Anolis sagrei: one gene and its partner. The protein of the gene in region 1 interacts with the protein of each later gene in a pairwise test. Links are inferred from orthologs where the notes say so. Each region holds a gene or a part of one and is shown on either strand. Other genes may lie near its edges.

Evidence for each region.
Region 2: the proteins of GFAP (region 1) and TUBGCP4 interact in a two-hybrid assay, tested with the Homo sapiens proteins (2 studies listed by BioGRID and IntAct). The two-hybrid records come from large-scale screens. The link is inferred for Anolis sagrei from reciprocal best matches to the Homo sapiens genes GFAP and TUBGCP4.

What each region holds. Positions count from the first base shown.
Region 1 is NC_090026.1:47,480,898-47,488,031, reverse strand, and holds the start of GFAP (glial fibrillary acidic protein), read right to left. Parts: upstream 3,067-7,134; 5' UTR 2,980-3,066; coding exon 2,480-2,979; intron 1-2,479.
Region 2 is NC_090029.1:22,410,213-22,418,122, reverse strand, and holds the start of TUBGCP4 (gamma-tubulin complex component 4), read right to left. Parts: upstream 3,087-7,910; 5' UTR 3,043-3,086; coding exon 2,971-3,042; intron 2,876-2,970; coding exon 2,678-2,875; intron 953-2,677; coding exon 854-952; intron 574-853; coding exon 520-573; intron 428-519; coding exon 371-427; intron 24-370; coding exon 1-23. Other genes in the region: ras GTPase-activating-like protein IQGAP1, read left to right, coding at 3,259-3,307, 3,399-3,498. UniProt on the Homo sapiens protein: Component of the gamma-tubulin ring complex (gTuRC) which mediates microtubule nucleation.

The sequences.
Region 1 (7,134 bases):
AATGATCAAGGGTCTGGAGAGCAAGCCCTCTGAGGAGTGGCTTAAAGAGTTGGGTATGTTTAGCCTGAAGAAGTGAAGGCTGAGAGGAGACATGATAGCCAGGCATGTAGCTGGGGGGGGGGGGGGTTCGAAATTCTCATGGTGGTTCGCGAAAAGGCCTTACTGGTGCATTATTTAAACTTTTATGTTTATTCATATCATGAGCTGATCACCATGCTCAATATATCCCATATGCATGGGGGTATTGGGGTAATGATACAAAAGGTTTGCTAGGCTAGACCCTCTTTCACTCAGACTCAGCCCCACCCCCGAAACTCAGCCCCCCCACCCCCCCTGAAAAAAATTCAGCCCCCCCCCCCCCGAAACGAAATCCTGGCTACGGGCCTGATGATAGCCATGTATAAATATGTGAGAGGAAGCCACAGGGAGGAGGAGCGAACTTGTTTTCTGCTGCCCTGGAGACTAGGACGTGGAACAATGGCTCCAAAGTACAAGAAAGGAGAGTCCATCTGAACATGAGGAAGAACTTCCTGACTGTGAGAGCTGTTCAGCATTGGAACTCTCTGCCTCAGAATGTGGTAGATGCTCCTTCTTTGGAAGCTTTTAAACAGAAGCTGAATGGCCATCTGTCGGGGGTGGTTTGAATGCAATTTCCCTGCTTCTTGGCAGGGGGTTGGACTGGATGGCCCATGAGGTCTCTTCCAACTTTATGATTCTATGATTCTTGCATAGAATCTTCTCCTTATTGTGGAACTCTCAAGTCCTGTTTGTTGGTGATACTTTCAGAATAATTTAACATAAAATGGGTTTAGCATAGAAAGACGTAAGCATAGAATCAGAAATTGGGAAGGAATCATTTGCTCAATTTCCTTACCCTGCAAATAATTTCATCACTTTGAATAGCTCCTTTAAAGTTCAGGCAAAAACCCAGAGCAGATTCATCAATTCACCACTCCAAATACAACCTAGTCTTACAGGAAAGGGCAGGTTGGTTATTAAAAGTTTCCCATAAAAGGAAGGTGAACACAGCTGCAGTTTTTACACTCTCCACTTCACAAGAACTATTGTCCACATCTGCTGGGCTTCATCATTAACTTCAAGTCATCCCTTGGACTATTTCCCACTTTGCTTGTTGCAGGAGACAGTCAGCAGAGGTGGGCAAGATGCCATTGAGTGCTGCTGGCCGGCCATTATGATGTTCTCATTAAAGAACTAATGAGGTTCAGAGGAATCACAAGGTTTCCCAGAACTGTTTTGAATTCTATTCTTCATTTATCAGCTTTTCCTAAGCTGGCACTTTCAAGATACACAATGTACTACAACTCACATAATCCCTGGTCAGTATAGATTCAGTGCCATAGAGAATGCCATGTTAAGAGAAACTGTTGAAGACCAGCTCTATTCAAAGTACTGCTGATGGTCTTTGGCGAGATTCCAGGATAGAAAATAACAATTGTAGCTAATGAGAACTAATATAGGATTGGTCCCCTGTGCACATTGGTGGAAAGAATTGCCAGTCCTATGCATTACATAGCATAGGAAGCACTGTTTTAGACAACTCAAGCCACCTTGGACAAGACAATAATAATAATAATAATAATAAATAAAATAAAAATAAATAAATAAATAAATAAATAAAAAGACAATAATAATGATAAATAAAATGTTACAAAATAGACAAATCACATCCTGGAAAATTCTGTCCCATACTCATAATAATAATAATAATAATAATAATAATAATAAACACAATAAATAAATAAATAAATTATGAATGAAAAGACAATAATAATAATAATAATAATAATAATAATAAAATACATAATTAATAATGAATAAATAAATAAAAAGACAATAATAATAATAATAATAATAATAATATGTTACAAAATAGACAAATCACATCCTGGAAAATTCCGTTCCATACTCAAAAGCAGGGGTCCTCAAACTATGGCCTAGGGCCCGGATACAGCCATCCAAGGTCATTTACCTGGCCCTCGCTCAGGATCAACCTAAGTATGAAATGACTTGAAAGCACACAACAACAACAACAACAATCCTATCTCATCAGCCAAAAGCAGTGCCACACTTCCCACTGAAATACTAATAAGTTTATATTTGTTTACATTGTTCTTAATTTTAATTATTGTATTATTTTTTTAAAAAAATGCACTACAAATAAGAAATGTGCAGTGTGCATAGGAATTCATTCATGTTTTTTCAAATTATAATCCGGCCCTCCAACAGTTTGAGGGATTGTGACCTGGCCCTCTGTTTAAAAAGTTTGAGGAACCCAGCTCAAAAGGGATCATTAGAATTGTAGTGCGAAAAAATGTAGTGTGTAAAACTAGTAACAAAGTCATCCGGCAAGAATCCTCCTCTAACTGCAAAATTTCCCAGTACACTTGCATATTGTTCTCTTGCTTCAGCTCTCTCATTGCCCATTTCTAGGTCAAGATCTTATGAATAGTTTGCTTACTTTTGCCGAAGATTGTTGAGATCCTCCAGCAGGTTGTCCCTCTCAATCTCCAGCCGGGCCTTAGAGTTGGAGAGCTGGTCTACTTGGTGGCGTAGATCTCTCAGCTCCTCCTGGTAGATATCAGCCAACTTGGTGGGCTCCTTGTCTCGGATTTGGTTGAGCTCAGTTACCAGAACCTTGTTCTGCTGCTCAAGGAAACGGACCTTCTCAATGTAGCTGGCAAAGCGGTCATTCAGCTCCATCATCTCCACCTTCTCGTTGGTACGGGTCTCCTTGAACTCAGTATTAAGGGCATCAGCCAAGGAAAAATCCACCTTGTCTGAGAACTTAGGGCCAGCACGAAAACTGAGGCTGGCAGTCTTCAGTTTGGTGACAGAGACCCGACTGGTAGCACTTGAAGGCATGTACCTGCGGCCTGGTGAGAACCTCAGAGCATGGTGGACAGAGCTGGTTTGCGAGCCAAAGCGTCTCCCATAGGATGACAGCCTCTGCCCTTCCATGGTGAAATCCCTTCTCCAGGCTTTGCAGGCTCGGACAGCTTCCTCTCTCTGTGCTGCAAAGGGTTTTTATACAAGAAGGTTAACCATGCCCGGCCATTTGCGTGTAAAGGGCTGGAGAGGGAGGGAGGAATGGGTTGTGTGCCAGGTCCTGACATCTCACATTTGCTATGCCAAGTGCCCTTGCCCTGGCAAAGCTGCAAAAGGAGGACATTGGGGAGAAGTTTTGAGTTTTCTTGATGAAACAGAGAGAAAATGGACTTGGATTAATGATGTAGCTGTGTCCATTGGTAATGACCATCACAACTATCTGTCACAGCACATCACTGCAATGGGATTCCCACAAGACTAAGGTTGTCCTTTTTGCCTTCGAATAATAGGGGCACTTATTACAAAAACTCAGTTAATCTCCCCCTCTCTGTTTTCTTGCAATGCTTTGAACGAATACTCATTTACATGACAAATGGCACTCTTCTATTTGTATAGCCAACAATCACATAACGGCCATGTTTACATGAAGGCTCAAAGAAAGAGGCTCAAAGGCAACCAAAAGATCTGTATTCTTCATGAAGTATCATAGTATCATAGCGATGAAGATGGAGAATGAAGTTGGTGAAATAACACATGCCTGTTTGACACCTGATTCCACCTTAAATGTGTCACTTTGGGATCAATTGCTGTCCAAGATTGTTGCCATCATGCCATCATGGAGGAGCTGCAGGATGTTCACAAATTTGTTAGGGCACCCGATTTTTTGGAGGATGGTCCAGAGAGCGCTGCGATTCACTGTGTCAAATGCCTTTGCAAGGTCAATGAATGCCATGTACAGTGGTTGATTTTGTTCCCTGCATTTTGTTGATGGGAAGCTTCCCACCGGAGTGGAAATCATCTATCGGACATATGGCAAGGTATTTAATCTCAGCAGACTGAAAGCCAAAACCAAGGTTACAACAACATCTGTTATAGAACTCTAGTATAGTGATGACAACGTCACCTGTGCGCATTCAGAAGAAAACCTACAAGCCACTCTAAATATCATCGCAGAAGCATATGAGAAGCTCGGCCTGTCACTGAACATCGAGAAAACCAAAGAGCGCTTCCATCAGTCACCAGCCAATCCCTCTCCAAAGCCAGAAATACAGCTTAATGGTGTAACATTCGAAAATGTTGATCATTTCCGCTACCTTGGCAGCCACCTCTCCACAAAAGTCAACATTGACTCTGAAATACTACACCACCTGAACTCTGCAAGTGCAGCCTTTTTCCGAATGAAGCAGAGTGTGTTTGAGGACCGGGACATCCACAGGGATACCAAGGTGCTTGTTTATAAAGCTATTGTCCTCCCAACTCTGCTATATGCCTGCGAAACATGGACTGTCTACAGACATCACATGCAACTTCTGGAACGATTCCATCAGTGCTATCTCCGGAAAATCCTGCAAATCTCTTGGGAAGACAAGCGGACAAATGTCAGCATGCTGGAAGATGCAAAGATCACCAGCATTGAAGCAATGGTCCTCCACCATCAACTCCGCTGGACCAGCCACATTGCCCAATGCCTGACCACCGTTTCTCAAAGCAGTTGCAACTTCTGGAACGATTCCATCAGTGCTGTCTCCAGAAAATCCTGCAAATCTCTTGGGAAGACAAGTGGACAAATGTCAGCATGCTGGAAGAAGCAAAGACCACCAGCATTGAAGCGATGGTCCTCTGCCATCAACTCCGCCACGTTGTCCGGATGCCCAACCACTGTCTCCCAAAGCTCTACTCTGAACTCAAGAATGGAAAACGGAATGTTGGAGGGCAGGAAAAGAGATTTAAAGATGGGCTCAAAGCCAACCTTAAAAACTTTGGCATAGACACTGAGAACTGGGAAGCCCTGGCCCTTGAGTACTCCAGCTGGAGGTCAGCTTTGACCAGCAGTGCTGTAGAATTTGAAGAGGCATGAATGGAGGGTGAGAGAAATGTGCCAAGAGGAAGGCACGTCAAGCCAACCCCAACCGAGACCGCCTTCCATCTGGAAACCAATGCCCTCACTGCGGGAGAAGATGCAGATCAAGAATAGGGCTCCACAGTCACCTACGGACTCACCAGTACACTGATCTTGGAAGACTATCCTACCCGGACAATGAGGGATTGCCTAAGTAAAGTAAGTTTTCTTCATACAAGCTGCCCATCCAGAGATGGGTTTTTCTGACGAATTTTTACTCTGAGAAGTTATTTCAATCAATTCTGCCAGAAAGCCACATCTTGAAATCTTGAACTTTTAATAGCAGTATAGTGATGTGAGCAATTATTACAAAACAGTAGGAGGAAAGCACTCTGCGTGTGCTTGCGGAAAAGAAAAAAAAGAGTACAATAATACATTGTTAAACTATAGAATCTGGATCTGCAAAGGCTGAGCAGGCCATACGGTAGATGATAACACAACATGTTGACTCAAAGTCGTCTTGACGGCAGTTAACGACAACAAAAATGCCTCTGTGCGTGTACAGAATCTCTTCTTCCTCAGTGAATAACAGCAGTCAATCTGGATGAAATTGCTGACCAGAAAGTATAGTTTCAATTGAGATTTGAGCATCACTTTCAGAAATGAAACACTGAAAACACAGCTGTCTTTCCTCCACGAACCGGCTGTCTTCTCTTGCTAAAACTGTCCAAATGGCAGAACTTTGATTCATCTCACCAGCCAGCTGAACAAAGCAGCTCAGAAGCTAATTAAGAGAGATTTAAATTGAATGCCTCTTTGAACCCCCAGACTAGCTTTCCACTCCAGTGGTTTTTTAAAGACAGCAACAATAAAAAAAACCCCATCATGTTCCACAAACTTCTGGATTTCTTGTCAATTGAAACTCCAGTAGAAGACACATCTATGGGCACAGAGAGGAGTCAAGGCTGGCAGGGGTGGGCGAATCATGGCTTGATGGCACAGTGGCAGCTTGTGATCGAAGCAGGAGGCTCGGGTATTTTGAGTGACACTCTCTCACCTCTGCTCTGGTCACAAGCTGCCTATAGTTTGATTCAAACCATTTAATCAAAAACAAAGGAACAGTAGTGAAGTTTACCTAGCATACAACAGAACAGTAGTGAAGTTTGCCACATCCTTTAATTTCAGCTTTCTCCATCCTTGGACCCTTCAACCGTATTCGACAGTTTCTGTAGTTGCAAATGGCCCTGTTAGTAGGGGATGATGGGCACTGCAATCCAGCACAACAAAAGATCACCAGGTTAGGAGAAGGTGCTTCAGTAGAGATAGGACCTGCCTATCTCTGCAATTGCATCTCCTTATATGAACTGGCGCGAGCTCTAAGATCTTCCGGGGAGGCCCTCCTTTCGCTCCCACTACTGTCACACGTATGGTTGGTGGGGATGAGAGAGAGGGCCTTCTCGGTGGTGGTCCCCTGCCTCTGGAACACCCTTCCAAGGGAAATAAGACAGGCCCCATCCCTCCCCTCCTTTCGTAAGAGCTTGAAGACCTGGTGGTTTCAACAAGCAGCCAATGAAGCTGTTTTAATATGGGCGTTGCATGCTCCCTATAGTTTGCTCCATTAAGGAGCCTGGCTGCTATTCGTTGTACCAGTTGAAATTTCCAGGCTGTCCTCAAGGGCAGCCCCACGTAGAGCACATTGCAGTAGCCCAATCTAGATATAATCAAGGTGTGGATCACCCTGGCCAAGTCAGACTTCACTAGGTATGGTTGCAGCTGGTGCACAAGTATGAATTGTGCAAAGGCCCTCCCAGCCACCGCCGACACCTGAGCATCAAGTGACAGCGTTGAATCCAGGAGAACCCCCAAGCTACGGACCTGCGTCCTCAGGGGACGCACAGGTTGCCACCCAATACCCTGGTCGGCCCCACAACTGACCAGGAGGACCTCTGTCTTGTCTGGATTAAGCTTCAACCTGTTAGCCCTCATCCAGTCCATCACAGCTGATAGACACTGGTTCAAGGTCTGGGAGGCTTCCTTGGAATTTGGTGGAAATGAGTAGTAGAGTTGGGTGTCATCTGTGTACAGATGGTACCCAACTCCAAAACTCTGGATAATCCTACCCAGTGGTTTCATGTAGATATTGAAAACATGGGGGATAGAATGCAACCTTGTGGGACCCCACAGGTCAAAGGCCATGGGTCCGAGCAGGTATCCCCCAGCTTCCCCAA
Region 2 (7,910 bases), on another chromosome or scaffold:
TCCAGGATCTGGCAGCCATGGATCTGCAAAGAGAGAGAGAGAGAAGCTGTCCCACAAAATCAACTTAATGTTGTGTTTCAGCATTGAGAGGGATTCAATGGTTTCCCCATATTTCACAAAATAATAGTATAATGCAGATGCTTCTAGACATGCATCACAATTATATACGTAATGCCTACTGAGATGAGAAGAAATGGCAGTCCTGCCTTGCTGGACACCACTGTTGTGGTGTAGGAAGGAGCAGAGTCCTTGGGAGGGGGAACATTTTCTTCTAGCTTCAGTCGGCTTCTGTAAACAGAGGTCTACTCTTCCCTCCTTCCCTCCCTTGGTGACCCCCGCTGACCACCAACCCCCTCCTCCTTGCACCTACCTTCTGGGTCTTGATCTGTTCTACCACAACCATCAAGGAGGGGAAGAGGAGCTGGAACTGCAAGAGAGGATGAGGAAGGAAGCATCAAAGGTGTACCTGGGCCTTTCCTGCAGCATCTCTTCCTGGCCAAAGGGGGGCAACAATCATACCTGGTCCAGGGAGTAGTTGAGGTGGGCGATAGTCAGGTGGGGGTCGGCCAGGAACTGCAGAGAGAGAGAGAGATGGGTCAGAGGAGCCCCCCCTTGAATCATAGAATCCTAGAGTTGGAAGAGACCTCGTAGGCCATCAAGTCCAACCCTCTGCTGAGAAGCAGGAAAATCACACTCAAAGCACCCCCAATAGATGGCCATTCAGCCTCTGTTTAAAAGTGTCCACCACACTCCAAGGCAGAGAGTTCCCCTGCTGAACAGCTCTCACAGTTAGGAAGCTCTTCCTAAAGTTTGGGTGGAGCCTTGTCCCCAGATCCCGCTGTGACCCCCTCACCTCTAGCTCCAGGTCCAGCAAAGCCTGGCGGTAGGGCTGCAGCACGGCGTCAAGCCCTGCACAGAAGGCGCGTAGGTAGATCCCCGGCGGAGGCAACTCCTGCAGTAAGAAGGAAAGAAGGGTCAAATAATGACTGATTTATGGACAGATCTGGCTGCAATCTATGTTTGAAGGAATTCAATTGAGATGAGAAGTGGCATACAGGGAGCACACAACCCCTCTGTTGTGTCCGCTCCACTGGCTGCCAGTCTGCTACCGAGCACAATTCACAGTGTGTGGCACTGAATTGCTGCCTGTTGCAAGGGTGCCCTGAGTCCTCCTCCTGATTGAGAAGGGTGGGGTACAAATGTGACCAATACATAAATAAATAACATAAATACTACCATAAAAATGATGAAGATGATAATAATAATAATAATAATAATAATACATTTATTTGCAAGTGTATTACACTAAATGTCCTATTGAATAATCCCTCATTGACATAATACTATATAAACATATCCAACAAAAATTATATATAAAAATGGTAACACACACACACAATTAATAGTGATAAAAATAATACATTTATTTAATAATACATTAAATGTCCAATTCCCCTCCTGGAAATGATAATATATAAAATAATGACACTTCCAATAATAATTGCATATAGAAATGATCACACACTCAAACACACACACACACAAATAGTGATAAAAATAATACATTTATTTGCAAGTGTATTGCATTCAATGTCCAATTGAATAATCCCCTCCTGGAAATGATGATAATATAGAACATAATAACATTTCCAATAATAATTATATACAAACTAATAACATGTGTGTGTGTGTGTGTGTGTGTATATATATATATATATCTCATAATAATAATACATTTGCAAATGCATTGCACTAATACTCCTATTAAATAATCCTTCATTGACGTAATACCATATAAAATAACATATCCTACAATAATTATATATAAAAATGATAATACACACACACACACACAAATAGTGATAAAAATTATAAATTTATTTGCAAGTGAATTGCATTCAATGTCCAATTGAATAATTCCCTCCTGGAAATGATAATAATATATAAAATAACATTTCCAATAAGAATAATATATAAAAACAATAACATATATTTGTATGTATATATATATGTGTGTGTATATATAATAATAATAATAATAATAATAATAATAATAATACATCTGTTTGCAAGTGTATTGCACTAAATGTCCTATGGAATAATCCCTCATTGATATACTATATAAAGGTAAAGGTAGTCCCCTGACATTAAGTCCAGTCATGTCTGACTCTGGGGTGTGGTGCTCATCTCCATTTCTAAGCCGAAGAGCCAGCGTTGTCTGTAGACACCTCCAAGGTCATGTGGCCGGCATGACTGCATGGAGCGCCGTTACTTTCCTGCCGGAGCGGTACCTATTTATCTACTCACATTTGCATGTTTTCAAACTGCTAGGTTGGCAGAAACTAGGGCTGACAGCGGAAGCTCACGCCGCTCCCTGGAATCGAACCTGCGACCTTTCGATCAACAAGCTCATAATAATATATTATTATTATTTTATATTTTATATTATTATATAAAACAATAATATAGCCAACAATAATTATATATTTTGTATATTTTTATATACAAAATAATAACATATCCAATAAATAAATATTATATATAAAAACGATAACATATGTCTATATATATATATATATATATATATGCTGTAACAATGCTCATAATAATAATAATACTACTACATGTATTGGCAGGTGTCTTGCATGCCATGCTGTCCCAATGCAGCTTTGCTCACCTGTGGGGGCGGGGCGGGCGGGAGCGCCGGGGGCGGGGCCTGCGCGGGAGGGGGCGGGGCCTCGCCGGCATTGCTGCTCTGATTGGCGGGCTCGATGAACTCGCTGAAGCGGAGGTAGAAGGAGCCGAGGCGGAGGAGGCGGCCTAGCAGCGCGGCCTCGCTCGGGTGAATCAGCCCCGGCACCGCTTCGGGAGCCACCTGTCGGAGAAGAGGGAGAAGCGCGTTTCAGGAGAGACACAGAGAGAGACACTTGGGGGCGGGGCCAAGGCAACCAGGAGGGGGCGGGGCCACACCTGCAGCCCCCCGCTGGCCACGAAGAGCCCCCCCGCGTAGCCCCGCAGCGCCAGGAGCAGCTCGTGGATCATCCCGGAAGGAAGCAGAGGGGCACGTGACTGACTGGCGGAGGCGCGGAGGGGGCGGAGCTAGCCGATTGGGCGGGAACGTTTCCCGCGCATGCGCCCAAGGCCCGGGAAGGGCTGCTTCCGGCCGCGCCTTGTCAGTCAGTCAGTCAGTCAGGCAAGGCAGGAAGGAAGGCTAAGAGCGCGCCTTCTCCGCTTGGAGAGAGAGAGAGAGAGAGAAAGATGTCGGCCGCGGAGGAGCTTGAGGGCGCGGCTCGGCCCCACTATGGCTGTGAGTGGCCTTCCGTCCTCATTTTCTTTCCGAGGGGAAGGGGAAGGAGACCCTTCCTGACGCCCCTCCCTCTATTTTCCCCCTTCTGTAGCGGTGCTGGACAACGAGCGGATGACGGCGGAGGAGATGGACGAGAGGCGCCTGCAGAACGTGGCCTACGAGTACCTCTGCCACTTGGAGGAGGCCAAGCGGTGAGGAAATATAAGGGGGCGAAGAGGGCGGGGCCTGTGAGAAAGGGGTCTGGGTAGGCGTAAGCTGCCGACTGTCAGCCCACCTTACTGTTGACCTAAGTAGAAGAGAAAGGGGCGGGGCTTGTGAGAAAGGGGCGGGGCTTGTTCTGCGGAAGAGAGGAAAGCCGGGGCTTTAGCACAGCCCAGCAATGATAAGATCTACCAGCAGAAAAAGGCTGCCAGTTTGAAGCCCTGGGTAGGCATAAGCTGCCAACTGTCAGCCCAGCTTACTGTTGACCTAAGTAGAAGAGAAAGGGGCGGGGCTTGTGAGAAAGGGGCGGGGCTTGTTCTGCAGAAGAGAGGAAAGCCGGGGCTTTAGCACAGCCCAGCAATGATAAGATCTACCAGCAGAAAAAGGCTGCCAGTTCGAAGCCCTGGGTAGGCATAAGCTGCGGACTGTCAGCCCAGCTTACTGTTGACCTAAGTAGAAGAGAAAGGGGCGGGGCCTCGCGTAGAGGGGGCTTTCTTGCTCTCAAGGTGGAGGGACCAGGAAGTGCCTTGCTCTACCCATCTTTATTTTCTTCTATGGCTCCTAGTTTCTCGTTCCTCTGCCTTTTCTATACTCAGCTTGATATTGACAAGCTGGAATGTGTCCAGAGGAGAGCCACTAAAATGATCAAGGGTCTGGAGAACAAGCCCTATGAGGAGCGGCTTAAGGAGCTGGGCATGTTGAGCCTGAAGAAGAGAAGGTTGAGAGGGGATATGATAGCCATGTATAAATATTTGAGAGGAAGCCACAGGGAGGAGGGAGCAAGCTTGCTTTCTGCTTCCCTGGAGACTAGGACGCGGAACAATGGCTTCAAACTACAACTGGATAGCCCATTAGGTCTCTTCCAACACTATGATTCTATGAGGGAGAGCCAAAGTTGGCTCATGCCTGGCCTAGAAGATGATTTGTACAATATTTAAGAGGGCTGGAGTAAGTAGACTGAGAGCTGTTGCAAAATCCACCTCTTTGGGCTGAACCCCGGTCACAAGTTAGGGTCTGAGGTCCTCAAGAGTGAGAGGGGGACTCTGAGGGGCCTCCTCCTTTCTTCTCTCTTTCTACTCCTCTTCCACTCCTTCCTTCTTCTTCCTCCTCCTTATCCTCCTCTCTTTCTCTGTTCCTTTCCATAACCCCAGAGCTACTTCCCAGTCTTTCTAACACTCTGAGGGTGTATTTCTAAAGACAGTGATACCTTGACTTATAAGTTTGATTCGTGCCGTGAACAAGCTCTGAACTCAGATTCCTCTCATCTGAACATGAGGAAGAACTTCCTGACTGTGAGAGTCGTTCAGCAGTGGAACTCTCTGCCCCGGAGTGTGGTGGAGGCTCCTCCTTTGGAAGCTTTTAAACAGAGGCTGAATGGCCATCTGTCAGGGGTGATTTGAATGCAATATTCCTGCTTCTTGGCAGGGGGTTGGACTGGATGGCCCATGAGGTCTCTTCCAACTCTTTGATTCTATGATTCTATCTGGCAACTCTCTCTCCGTGTAGATAATGTAGAAAGGCAAGGACTTTCAGAAAAACATCTATTTCTGTTTTATCGACTACTAGCCGTCCCCTGCCACGCGTTGCTGTGGCCTACATAGGGGTTCTGTGTGGGAGGTTTGCCCAATTCTATTGTTGGTGGGGTTCAGAATGCTCTGTGATTGTAAGTGAACTATAACTCCCAGCAACTACAACTCCCAAATGTCAAGATTCTATTTTTCCCAAACTCCACCAGTGTTCACATTTGGGCATATTGAGTATTCATGTAGAGTTTGGTCCAGATCCATCATTGTTTGAGTCCACAGTGATCTCTGGATATAGGTGAACTACAACTCCAAAACCAAAGGACACTGCCCACCAAACCCTTCTAGTAGTTTCTGTTGGTCATAGGAGAACTGTGTGCCAAGTTTGGTTCAATTCCATCGTTGGTGGAGTTCAGAATGGTCTTTGATTGTAGGTGAACTATAAATCCCAGCAACTACAACTCCCAAACGACAAAATCATTTTTTTAAGAGTGAAGGACATACATTGGGTTGTTATGTGTCTTGTGTCCAAATTTGTTGTTAATTCACCCAGTGGTTTTTGAGTTCTGTTAATCTCACAAACAAACATTACATTTTTATTTATATAGATTCTAAAGCCTTAGACTTTGTGGATCATAATAAATTGTGGCAAGTTCTTGGTGGTATGGGAATACCAAATCACCTTGTCTCTCTCCTGAGGAATCTGTACAAGGACCAAGTAGCAACAGTCAGAACTGACCATGGAACAGCACACTGGTTCAAGATTGGGAAAGGCGTACGGCAGGGTTGTATCCTCTCACCCAACCTATTCAACTTGTATGCAGAACACATCATGCGGTGTGCAGGGCTTGATAAATGCAAGGCTGGGGTAAAAGTTACTGGAAGGAACATTAACAACCTTAGATATGCAGATGATACCACTTTGATGGCCGAAAGTGAGGAGGAGCTAGGGAGCCTTCTGATCAAGGTGAAAGAAGAAAGTGCAAAAGCTGGGTTGCAGTTAAACATAAAAAAAACCAAGATTATGGCAACCAGACTGATTGACAACTGGGAAATAGAGGGAGAAAACGTGGAGGCCGTGACAGACTTGGCATTTCTAGGTGCAAAGATTACTGCAGATGTAGACTGTGGCCAGGAAATCAGGAGACGCTTACTTCTTGGAAGGAGAGCAATGTCCAATCTTGTTAAAATAGTGAAGAGTAGAGACATCATACTGGCAACAAAGATCCGCATAGTAAAAGCACTGGTATTCCCCATAGTCACATACGGATGTGAGAGCTGGACCTTAGGGAAGGCTGAGCGAAGGAAGAGAGATGCTTTTGAACTCTGGTGCTGGAGGACAGTTCTGAGAGTGCCTTGGACTGCGAGAAGATCCAATCAGTCCATTCTTCGGGAAATAAAGCCCGACTGCTCATTGGAGGGAAGGATAGTAGAGGCCAAGATATGAAGTATTTTGGCCAAATCATGAGAAGACAGGAAAGCTTAGAGAAGACAATTATGCTGTGGAAAATTGAAGGTAAAAGGAAGAGGGGCCGACCAAGGGCAAGATGGATGGATAGCATCCTTGAAGTGACTGGCTTGACCTTGAAAGAGCTGGGGGTGGTGATGGCCAACAGGGAGCTCTGGTGTGGGCTGGTCCAAGAGGTCACAAAGAGTCGGAAGCAACTGAACGAATGAACAACATGGCCCCTGAAGGGTCCCAAAGCCTTTGCCCTGACAGGTGTGGAAGGGAAGGCCTGCTCATGCGTGAAAGGAGAGGGAGGGGATTCTCTGCATCAAGGCCCCTTTAAAAAGGGCAGGAAGGCATCCCCAGCCGCTCTGCACCCCGCCTGTTAAGTTAGACGCCTCCACACTTGGAAGCAATACTTGCACTCCGTCTTGGGCCGCAATTATAATAATAGCTTGGTGATGATTATCAAGTGTCCATGAGGAGCGGCTTAAAGAGCTGGGCTTGTTTAGCCTGCAGAAACGAGTTTATCTTCGTGACCGCATCTTCCCATATGAACCCTCCCGCACTTTGAGATCACCAGGGGAGGCTTTCCTCTCACTTCCGCCTCTGTCTCAGGCACGGTTGGTGGGAACAAGGGAGAGGGCCTTCTCAGTGGTGGCTCCCTGGTTCTGGAACTCCCTCCCTGGGGAGATCAGACAGGCCTCAACATTATCCATTTTTTGTAGAGAATTGAAAACGTGGATGTTCTGTCGTGCCATTGATTGAGCAGTTTTACCAGAGAACTATTCCTTTCCTACCCTGACTATGCACTTGATTGTTATCCCAGCCTATTGTTTTAAGATGTTGTTTTGATTGCGTGTACATTTTTATTTGATTGTTTTTAATGCTGTTTTATCTGTAGTGTGAGCTTGTGCCCCTGTAAGCCGCCCCGAGTCCCTTTGGGGAGATGGTGGCGGGGTATAAGAATAACGTTGTTATTATTATTATTATTATTATTATTATTAGGCTGAGAGGAGACATTAATAATAATAATAGTGTTATTATTATTATTATTATTATGTTAATATTATGTTGTTGTTATTATTGTTATTATTATTATTAGGCTGAGAGTCATGGCTCAAGACGTGAGGAGAAGTCATAGGGAGGAGGGTGCAAGCTTGCTTTCTGCTGCCCTGGAGACTAGGACGTGGAACAATGGCTTCAAAGTACAGGAAAGGAGATTCCATCTGAACATTAGGAATATTTTCCTGACTGCGAGAGCTGTTCAGCAGTGGAACTCTGCCCTGGAGTGTGGTAGAGCCTGCTTCTTTGGAGGCTTTGAAATAGAGGCGGGATGGCCATCTGTCGGGGGTGCTTTGGATGTGATTTTCCTGCTTCTTGGCAGAATGAGGTTGGACTGGATTGCCCACGAGGTCTCTTCCGACTCAAG